2 linked regions of the Sus scrofa genome follow. The main gene of each other region encodes a partner of the protein of the gene in region 2 in a complex. Links are inferred from orthologs where the notes say so. Each region holds a gene or a part of one and is shown on either strand. Other genes may lie near its edges.

The links. Proteins that work in one complex are often made in the same cells at the same time.
Region 1: the proteins of RAF1 (region 2) and RAP1A are in contact, whole or in part, in a crystal structure (PDB 3KUC), measured with the Homo sapiens proteins. The link is inferred for Sus scrofa from reciprocal best matches to the Homo sapiens genes RAF1 and RAP1A. Residues at the interface, in NP_001341619.1 of Homo sapiens: Thr57, Arg59, Asn64, Lys65, Gln66, Arg67, Thr68, Val69, Val70, Lys84, Lys87, Val88, Arg89, Gly90; in NP_001010935.1 of Homo sapiens: Val21, Gln25, Ile27, Val29, Asp33, Pro34, Ile36, Glu37, Asp38, Ser39, Tyr40, Arg41.

What each region holds. Positions count from the first base shown.
Region 1 is NC_010446.5:108,747,655-108,752,398, forward strand, and holds the start of RAP1A (ras-related protein Rap-1A), read right to left. Parts: upstream 3,299-4,744; 5' UTR 3,179-3,298; intron 3,108-3,178; exon of another isoform or gene 3,089-3,107; intron 2,385-3,088; exon of another isoform or gene 2,342-2,384; intron 1-2,341. UniProt on the Homo sapiens protein: Counteracts the mitogenic function of Ras, at least partly because it can interact with Ras GAPs and RAF in a competitive manner. Together with ITGB1BP1, regulates KRIT1 localization to microtubules and membranes.
Region 2 is NC_010455.5:68,598,609-68,602,810, reverse strand, and holds part of RAF1 (RAF proto-oncogene serine/threonine-protein kinase), read left to right. Parts: intron 1-752; coding exon 753-851; intron 852-3,030; coding exon 3,031-3,184; intron 3,185-3,771; coding exon 3,772-3,831; intron 3,832-4,202. UniProt on the Homo sapiens protein: Serine/threonine-protein kinase that acts as a regulatory link between the membrane-associated Ras GTPases and the MAPK/ERK cascade, and this critical regulatory link functions as a switch determining cell fate decisions including proliferation, differentiation, apoptosis, survival and oncogenic transformation.

The sequences.
Region 1 (4,744 bases), on a different chromosome or scaffold from region 2:
GAAACTTAAGATCAACAACTGTGGCTGTCACTTTAACTAGTACAACCCACTCTCTGTAGGAATAGATATACCAAGAAGACAAGCATATTTATATACTTTGATTCAACAGTGCTTCTTCTGGAAATCAATTCCAAGGAAATATTCAAAAAGAAAGAAAATGCTGCATACACAAAGTGTTCATTGTTATTTTCAATAGGGGGAAATATGCCCAACAGCAGGTAGATGGAATATTTTGCAACCACTGAAAAGGGTTTAAAATGAAGATTATTAACCTCCTATTTGGTCTTCCTGCTTCCACTCTTGCCCCATCCCCCAAGCTGATTTCCACACAGCAGCCGGAATGATGCCCATAAACGTTAAGTCAGAACAGGTCTCTCTTCTAGTGGTTTCCCATCTCATTCAAAGTAAAATCCAAAGTTCTGACCACGGCCTACAAAGCTGTACAGTGGCCTCGGCAACTTCTCCAAACCTCAAGCTCTCTCACTTTCCCTCTTGCTGACTGGCGGCCCAGGTGTTCTCCAAAACGCCAAGTACACTGAGTGGTCTTTGCACTTACAGCCCTCTGCCTGTAACCTTCTGCCCCAAGACAGCAAACATCTCTCACTTCCTTCAGGTCTGTGCTCCAGCCTCATGTCTTCCCTGACTGCCTTCTTTGCCACTGTTCCCCTCCATCCCCTCAACCTACTTTACTCTTCGGCACACCTCTTATCACCTGACTTATTCTACATTTATTTGGTTGTGGCCCATCTCTCCTAATTAGAATAAAGCTCTGTGACAGCATGGACTTTGTTTTATTCACATAATAGGCATTCAAAAAAGCACGTGTTAAATTAATATTGAATGTTGTTAACTACATGAAAAAACATGCACATAAACAAGCTTGGAAGAGAAGAGAAAAATCATCTGTCAACATTTTCAAGTGTGGATCATGTTGCTAAAAAGGAGTTTGTACAATAAAAATCATAAGTCGGTCATGATCATGATTTTAAGCTGCCAAAAGTGACTATAATAATTTCCTTCAAAGCCATTTGTTTAAAATTATTAGTAGTTCAAAAACTACTGGTAATAGTTATATTAATGAGAACTTTTCCCCATAAGATTGCAATACAAAATCACTCTTAAATCTTGTTCCCAAAGACCCAAATTTAGTCTATAAGGGTAGGTTTGTCATTCCTGAACTCAAACAGAAGATGAACAAAGGCTTTTGAACAGTTTTAATACGGAACTGAATACTCAGGGATTCCAGTTTACTTTTAAGACAACTACCCATGGTTGGCTTCAGAGGGTCCCTGAAACTGAATGCAAAATTTTGTGCAAAAATGCCTATTACCTCCTTCCTGAGGAGAGCATCTACACATTTCATTATATTCTCAAAGGTGTCAGTAGCCCAGAAAAGGTTAATAATTACTATTTTATATACTGGGAGCTAAAGGCCATATTCTAATTTGAGCTGCCTCTCAAAAGGATAGAAGATATGGAAATACCTAGACATATCTTTGTAATCATTCAATTCATTCAAGAAATATCAAGTGCCACAAAAACAAACAAACAAGAAAGACCAAGTGCCTAGCATGTGCCAGGCACTGTATGAACCTCAGTACCTTACACCTAATCACATTTTGTGGCACATAATTCAAAATACCGAGGAAACAAGATTTACTGAAACACCAGACTAAAAGAATTTCAATTAACGCAAATACAATTTCAAAACAGAAAGTAAGTGTTCAAGAAATCAAAATAAAGAAGCTCGAAACCTGATTTAGTGTCAATTATGTCAAAATAGTGCAGATTATCAATTACATCACAAGAGAAGAAAAACTACACACATGCATGCCCACCCCCACACTCTGACAGGAAACCAAAATAAAGTTTCCAAATCCTGTTTCCAGCAGCATCCCTTTAGAGACTGCCCTTCAGCATGCTTTTGAAGGTAGGAGCCCCACGTTAAAACTAAGAGCGGATACTTCACTCTTAACTGTGCTAAAAACAGAAAGAATTATCATCTCACACCCAGGAAGCAGAAAACTGTGGCCACCTGTACAGCTGTGACCCATTAACCTCCTGCCCTGTTATTCTCTTTCATTTCTTCTACCTTCCTCCCTTCGAAGCAGTGACAAAACCATTTTCCCTCCCCAAAAGGAATACATAACTCCTCGACGCTAGTTCTTTTTCCAAGAGGTCAAAAGGTCCCCTAAACTCTGGTTCTTAGCACCGTGAGCTGATTCCACTTTTCAGGCACAAGTGTCTTCCCCTCAAGTTCTCCCCACAGCAGTAAGTTACACAATTCAGCCGAAAACGCTGTCCTTAACTTCCTGAACCAGGGGGCAAAAGACACTCCTACCAGTCCCAGTTTGAAGGAAGACAAGAATCACACGGTGACCTCTGCACTAATAAAATTCAGGAAAGAAGCAGAGACCCAAGAAAAGCAACGCCCGAAAAGGCGAACACATGGCATGCCACGGAAGACGTTGGGCAAAGAGGGCGGGAAAGGGGCTGGGAAATGGAGTGGGGCGTAGAGATGTCAGCCCTGCGCACTGGGGGAATAAAGGAACGGGGGACCCCGAACCCTGACAAGTGAACACAGAGAGGACACTGCTCCGGTCTACCCTCACCTCTCCAGCAGACGAGGGAGGAACAGAAAATTCACCCAACCCTCCAACCCCCTCTGTGCTTGCCCCCCAAAGGGTGAGCTGGGTTTGAAGGAAGATCTGACCCTAGTCTGGGGACACGCAAGAAGAAAAAGGCAGCGATGTCCAATCTTCTACCTCCCTCGGGCAGTGAGGGGCGAGGGCACTGTGTCCGGGGAGATGGCGAGGGAAATAGGCTTGTGCCATGACACCTCGGGGAGTTGGAGGGTGGGGGACACAATGTCCTCTTTCTCTCCCACACCCGGCCCGGGCCCCTCCCGTCCCTCTCCCGCAGGCCCAGCCACAGTCCACCGGCTCGGTCCGCGGGCGTGGTTGGCTCTGGCCCCGGCGGCGGCGGCCGGGCCTCCCCAAGTCCTGGCCCCTCCCGCCGGCCAGGCCCCGGGCCGCCGCCCCGGACACCGAGGGAACGCAGAGGAGGAAGGGGGAGCCAGGGGACTGACCGGCAACAGGAGCCGCCTCAGCCCCGGCTCGGCCGACCCGCGCCCCCCGCTCCTTCTGAGGCCGGCTCCGGCTCCCCGCCCCTCACTCACCCCCCCGGTCCGGCGCCTCCTCCACCTCCTCCTCCTCCTCCTCCCTCCACTCGGCCGTGGCTCCTGCTCCGGCTCTGCGCGGCGACGGCGGCGGCAGCGGCCTCGAGAGCGGCGGCGGCGCCTCCAGAACGCGCACGCACGCAGCACGCAGGCCACGCCCCCAAGTCCCGCCCCGCCCCTCCGAGTCGGCGTCGGCAAGGTTTCGGCCCCGCCTTCCTTTTGGCGTTCCGGAGTCCGCTTAAAGGGGCCGCGCAGGAAGGGATGCGAGAGTTACGAACCGGGAGAGTTATGACCTGAGGAGAGGAGCGGGAGTTACGGTTTTGCCTTGGGCGGTTGGGTGCGGAAAGGAAATGAGGAATAGTCCGAAGATTCTGGAGTAATAGAATTTTGGACGGAATACAACCTTTTGATAAGTACTAATTGAACATCTCATATGTGACAGGCACAGGGAATAATGCCATTGGCAAGTAAAGGCCCTCGTAGAGCTTGCATTCTAGTGGGAGAGAGGAGACTGAAACAAACAAGTAGAACAAAAATTTCAGAAAGTGGAGTCCCCATCTTGGTTCAGGGAAACAAATCTGATTAGTAACGGTGAGGACGCAGGTTCGATCCCTGGCCTCGCTCAGTGGGTTAAGGATGCGGCATTGCCATGAGCTGAGCGGTAGGTCACAGACAAGGCTGGGATCTGGCATTGCTGTGGCTGTGGCATAGGCCAGCAGCTACAGCTCCAATTAGACCCCCAGCCTGGGAACTTCCATACGATGTATCTGCGGCTCTATAAAATCCAAAAACTAAAAAAAAAAAAAAAAAAAATCTCTTTTGGAGTTCCCGTCGTGGCGCAGTGGTTAACGAATCCGACTAGGAACCATGAGGTTGCGGGTTCGGTCCCTGGCCTTGCTAAGTGGGTTAAGGATCCGGTGTTGCCGTGACCTGTGGTGTAGGTTGCAGACACGGCTCGGATCCCACGTTGCGTGGCTCTGGCGTAGGCTGGTGGCTACAGCTCCGATTAGACCCCTAGCCTGGGAACCGCCATATGCCGCAGGAGCAGCCCAAGAAATGGCAAAAAAAAACCAAAAAAAAAAAAAAAAGTTCAGGAAGTGATAAGTGGTGTGAAGAAAAATAAAGCCAGGAATGGAGTGACTTTATAGATGGCCAGATATTGCCCCTCAGAGGAGACCTTTGAGCCCATAGTGTATGATATGAAGGAGTGGGCTTAGAAAATATGTGGGAGGGGAGAAGGCATAGGGGAGACCTTATAAGCTGAAAGAAAATCTCTGGCCTTAAGCTCAGAGTTGGGAACAGCCGAGCATGTAGCAAGAACAACAAATGGCCAGAATGGCTTGGGGTGATCAGCTAGCCAGAGAGTAGTAGTAGTTGGGCTGAGAGAGGTGCGGAAGAAGAGGTCAGGTCCAGTGGAGCCTCATGGGCTGTCACAAGAGCAGCAGAGAGCCATGGGAGGGTGAGCAGAGGAATGACCACATCTGATTCACAATTTTCAAAGTTACCATGGCTCATGTGTGTAAAATACACAACAGGGAAGCACAGATGTCAGCAGAGAGGCTGTTC
Region 2 (4,202 bases):
ATGTGAACTTGCTGGGCATTAAGTGCTTATCTCATGAAGGGAGGATGTCCTGATTAGTATTAATATCTCTTTCCTTATTTATGACTGTTGGTGATAAAGATGATTTATTATTCATATTTGTCTTTTTTTTTTTTTTTTTTTTTTGCTTTTTTAGGGCTGCACCCACTGCATATGGAAGTTCCCAGGCTAGGGGTCCAGTTGGAGCTTCAGCTGCTGGCCTAAGTCACAGCCACAGCAACGCAGGATCCGAGCCGCGTCTGACCTACAACCACAGCTCATGGCAACACAAGATTCCTGACCTACTGAGCGAGGCCAGGATTCAAACCCACATCCCCATGGATACTAGTTGATTCGTTTCTGCTGTGCCACAACGGGAACTCCCTCAGTCTTTTGATCAAGACATAATGTTTCCAGAAAAGCTCTGCATGATTTAGGTTAGTTATAAAGTGCCCTACTGTGTATAGCTTTTGAAAAAATTATTTTGATACAGCTGGACATTGAAGCAGCATTTCCTAGAAATGCACATTAGAGACTCTGTGTTCACTGGCAAGTCAGGATTTTTCACATTCCGTAGTCATTCATACTCAGTCACTTGGTTTGGTAGTCCCTTTACTCTGGTAGCCCAAATGGTCCAAGAAAATGTGACTAGGAATAGTTCGGCCTGAGTAGTTATGAGTTTGCAAGGCCAGGCAGGCTGACTGTAAAATTATTACCACAAGTCTATAAACCAGTCTTTCTCTGATTTCATTTAGATTGTTCCCAAATTCCACTGTTGGTGATAGTGGGGTCCCAGCACTGCCTTCTTTGACAATGCGTCGGATGCGAGAATCTGTTTCCCGGATGCCTGTTAGGTATTTTTTATCTACTGCTTTTCTTTTGGAAGGTTTTATTGGTGTGGGTGGGATTGAAAGCATGGATGCAAAAGACAGGAGTTTCCTTGCGTTCCTTCCGCCCTGTGTAAACCCTTTGCTGCTTCTGTGGACCCCAGTGTTGGTGTTAGAGCAAAACGTAGTTCTTTGTGGTCCTGTAGTTCTTGAATTCTGGAAAGTGACTGTGACTATAGTTTATTCTGTTATCCTAGCATGTCCCTTTGTTCTCATTACGTTTTAAAGAACTTGAGATTTTTGCCTTCCTCATTATGCATGTGCAGTGAGCCTCAGGGAAAGGGTCCCAAAACAGTAAATAGTGATTCAATAAAAGTAAAACTCTCAACTTTGAATTACTTATTGTAGGCTTACATTGCTAAAACCATGGTACCTAATAAACTGCTCTCTTTAAAAGCATCTAATTAGATGTTAGTATAATATCTATTTTATTTTTATTTATTTATGTGTCTTTTTAGGGCTAACCTGCGGCATATGGCGGTTCCCAGGTTAGGAGTCCAATGGGAGCTGCAGCCACTGGCCTACACCACAGCCACAGCAACACCATATCCAAGCCGCGCCTTCAACCTACACCATAACTCATGGCAATGCCAGATCCTTAACTCACTGATTGAGGCCAGGGATCAAACCCTCATGCTCATGGATCCCAGTTGGGTTCATTAACCACTGAGCCACAAAGGGAACTCCTAAAAGCTGTTTTAAGCTTTGAGTTAACATGTCTCAGTGTTACACATGAATTTGGAACCAAAAACAAATCTACGTCTTTATTCAAAGTATCTGACTTTATATATATTCATAATTTTTTTTTGGGGGGGGGTCTTTTTAGGGCTGCACCCGTGGCATATGGAAGTTCCCAGGCTAGGGGTTGAATTGGAGCTGAAGCCACCAGCCTACGCCACAGCAACATGGGATCTGAGCTGAGTCTGAGACCTATACCACAGCTTATGGCAACACCAGATCCTTAACCCACTGAGCGAGGCAAGGGTTCGAACCCACATCCTCATGGATGCTAGTCATGTTAACTAACTGCTGAGCCATGACAGGAACTCCATATTCATAAAACATTTAATGGCCTTTGTAAACCTATCATGAAATTTGTTAAAGGTAGCATATTTTAGAACAAAGAATCTGAATTGATAATCTAGATGTGTTTGTATATGACTTCTATTTTTCTTGATAATTTGAAAAGCAAGTCTGACTGAAAAACTGTAATTGTCAGTTCCCTGGTGGTCTTGTTAGTGGTCAGGACCTGGTGGTTTCACCACTGTGGCCCAGGTTCGCTGCCTGGTCTGGGAACTGAGATTCCTTATCATGCCGCTGCATAGTGTGGCCAAAAAAGAAAGGAACTGCTTGCTTTTGAAGATTTAGATACATTTAGATGGAAGAAACTGGGGTTCTGAGAGCATTAGTGTTGAATTGCCTGGAAAGGCAGTCTTTCAAGGAAGTAAAGCAGTTTCTTTTAGAAAAACCATCTTTTTGTCCCTTGAATTCATGCATGGTGCTGCTTGAATCTGAATAGAACTCAGAGTAATCTTTTGAGCAAATAATGAAAATCTTATACCTAATGCATGTTCCCAGTTTGGTTGGTGGGAGAGTGGTTTTGGGTAAAAGAGGCCAGTGATACATTTCACAGTTAGGTATTGAAACCTAAAAACTCAGCTCACGTTAATTGACTTTGTGAGCTGTTTATGGGGGAGAGGATTCACAGTGGATAAAATTCTGGCCTGTTTGTAGACATGCTTAGTAGGTCTGACCATCTGTTTAAAAAAAACTTCTTTAAAGTTTTCTAATTTGGTCTCATAATTAACCTGAATAAGTCCCAGCTAGCTTAGTAGAGGGTAGTATGGTTGGTAACTGTTAATCTCTCTCAGAGGTTGTCTAAAATTTAGAGTATTCTGTAGAGGTGGTTTATTAAATAGAAGAAAACTAATAATGTATCATTTCTTTTCACATGAATTCCAAGCATGTATATTTCCTTTTCTAAAATAAATGGTGCATATTGAAAAAAAGGAACATTTTTTTGTCAAAGGTTGTAGTTCAAGTAGGGTTTGTCCCAAGTATCTTAATGAAGTAGATACTCGAAAGACTGCCTGTACAGAAAGCTCAGTATCAGTCACGGAATTTTCTTTCTCCTTCTCTCTACTAGTTCCCAGCACAGATACTCCACACCCCATGCTTTCACATTCAACACCTCCAGCCCTTCCTCTGAAGGTTCCCTCTCCCAGCGGCAGAGGTCGACGTCCACACCCAATGTCCACATGGTCAGCACCACCCTGCCTGTGGACAGCAGGATGATTGAGGTAATGGGGCCCCTTGCGGGTGGTAAAGATTATCAGTCAGCTATTTGATTGGGGTTTACTGTTGTGTCAGAGAGTTCTGGGTTTTAAACCTGATAAGGAATGTTGTAGCACTTTCTCAAATTCCTGGACTTTTAAAATTTCTTTTCTTATTCATTACATCTTGAAATTGGTTTAATAATCTGGTTAGTGTATCAGTCGAGGGGAGAACTAAAATTTCAAATTGAATTCATTCTTTCCATATCAGATTAGAGTAGGATTTCAGTGAACTAGTGAATAAGGTCTATAAGGAGTAGTTTCTTTCTGGTTTGGAAAAGAAAATAATAGTGGTAGAGAGGTACAAACTCTCTGAAAGACTTTTAAGTGATTTTATTTAGAAATGAAAGGGTAGAGTTATAGGATTTTAGGTATTTAGGGAAATATAAAGGTGCCTAAAGCCTGGTGTTTTCAAACTGCTTTTTCTTTTCTTGGCTTTTTTTGTATGTTCTATTTGTTTGGTTTGCTTTCTAGTTCATCTTTAATAACAACTGAATACATAAAATACTTCCTTTGTTCTTTATTCTTCTTTATTTCTCATTGCTTTGGACTAGAATAACAGCCTGAATGCTTCTCCCAGGGCGTGGTCCAGACGATTTTGTTTGAGGGGAAGAGTAGGTATTTTTCTTCATGCCTTTGCTTTCTTTTAAATTAACAGGATTGCTAAGACTGTCAGACAGTAGACTATCAAAAATGAAACAATTACTAAACTTACTGTTTCTTGTCAGACTTGTTTTCATGTTTTCTTTCTTGGCAATAGCATAATTTAGGAGTAAACAAATATTGTATGTGATATTGCTGATAGGTGAAGTCAGTTTTCTCTGAGATTTTGAGGCCAAGGGTATGTATGTATGTATGTATGTATGTATGTATGTATGTATTGCTTTTTTAGGGCCATGGCCACAGCATATAAAAGTATCCAGGCTAGGAGTCCAATTGGAGCTACAGCTGCTGGCCTACACCACAGCAACAGCAATGCGGGATC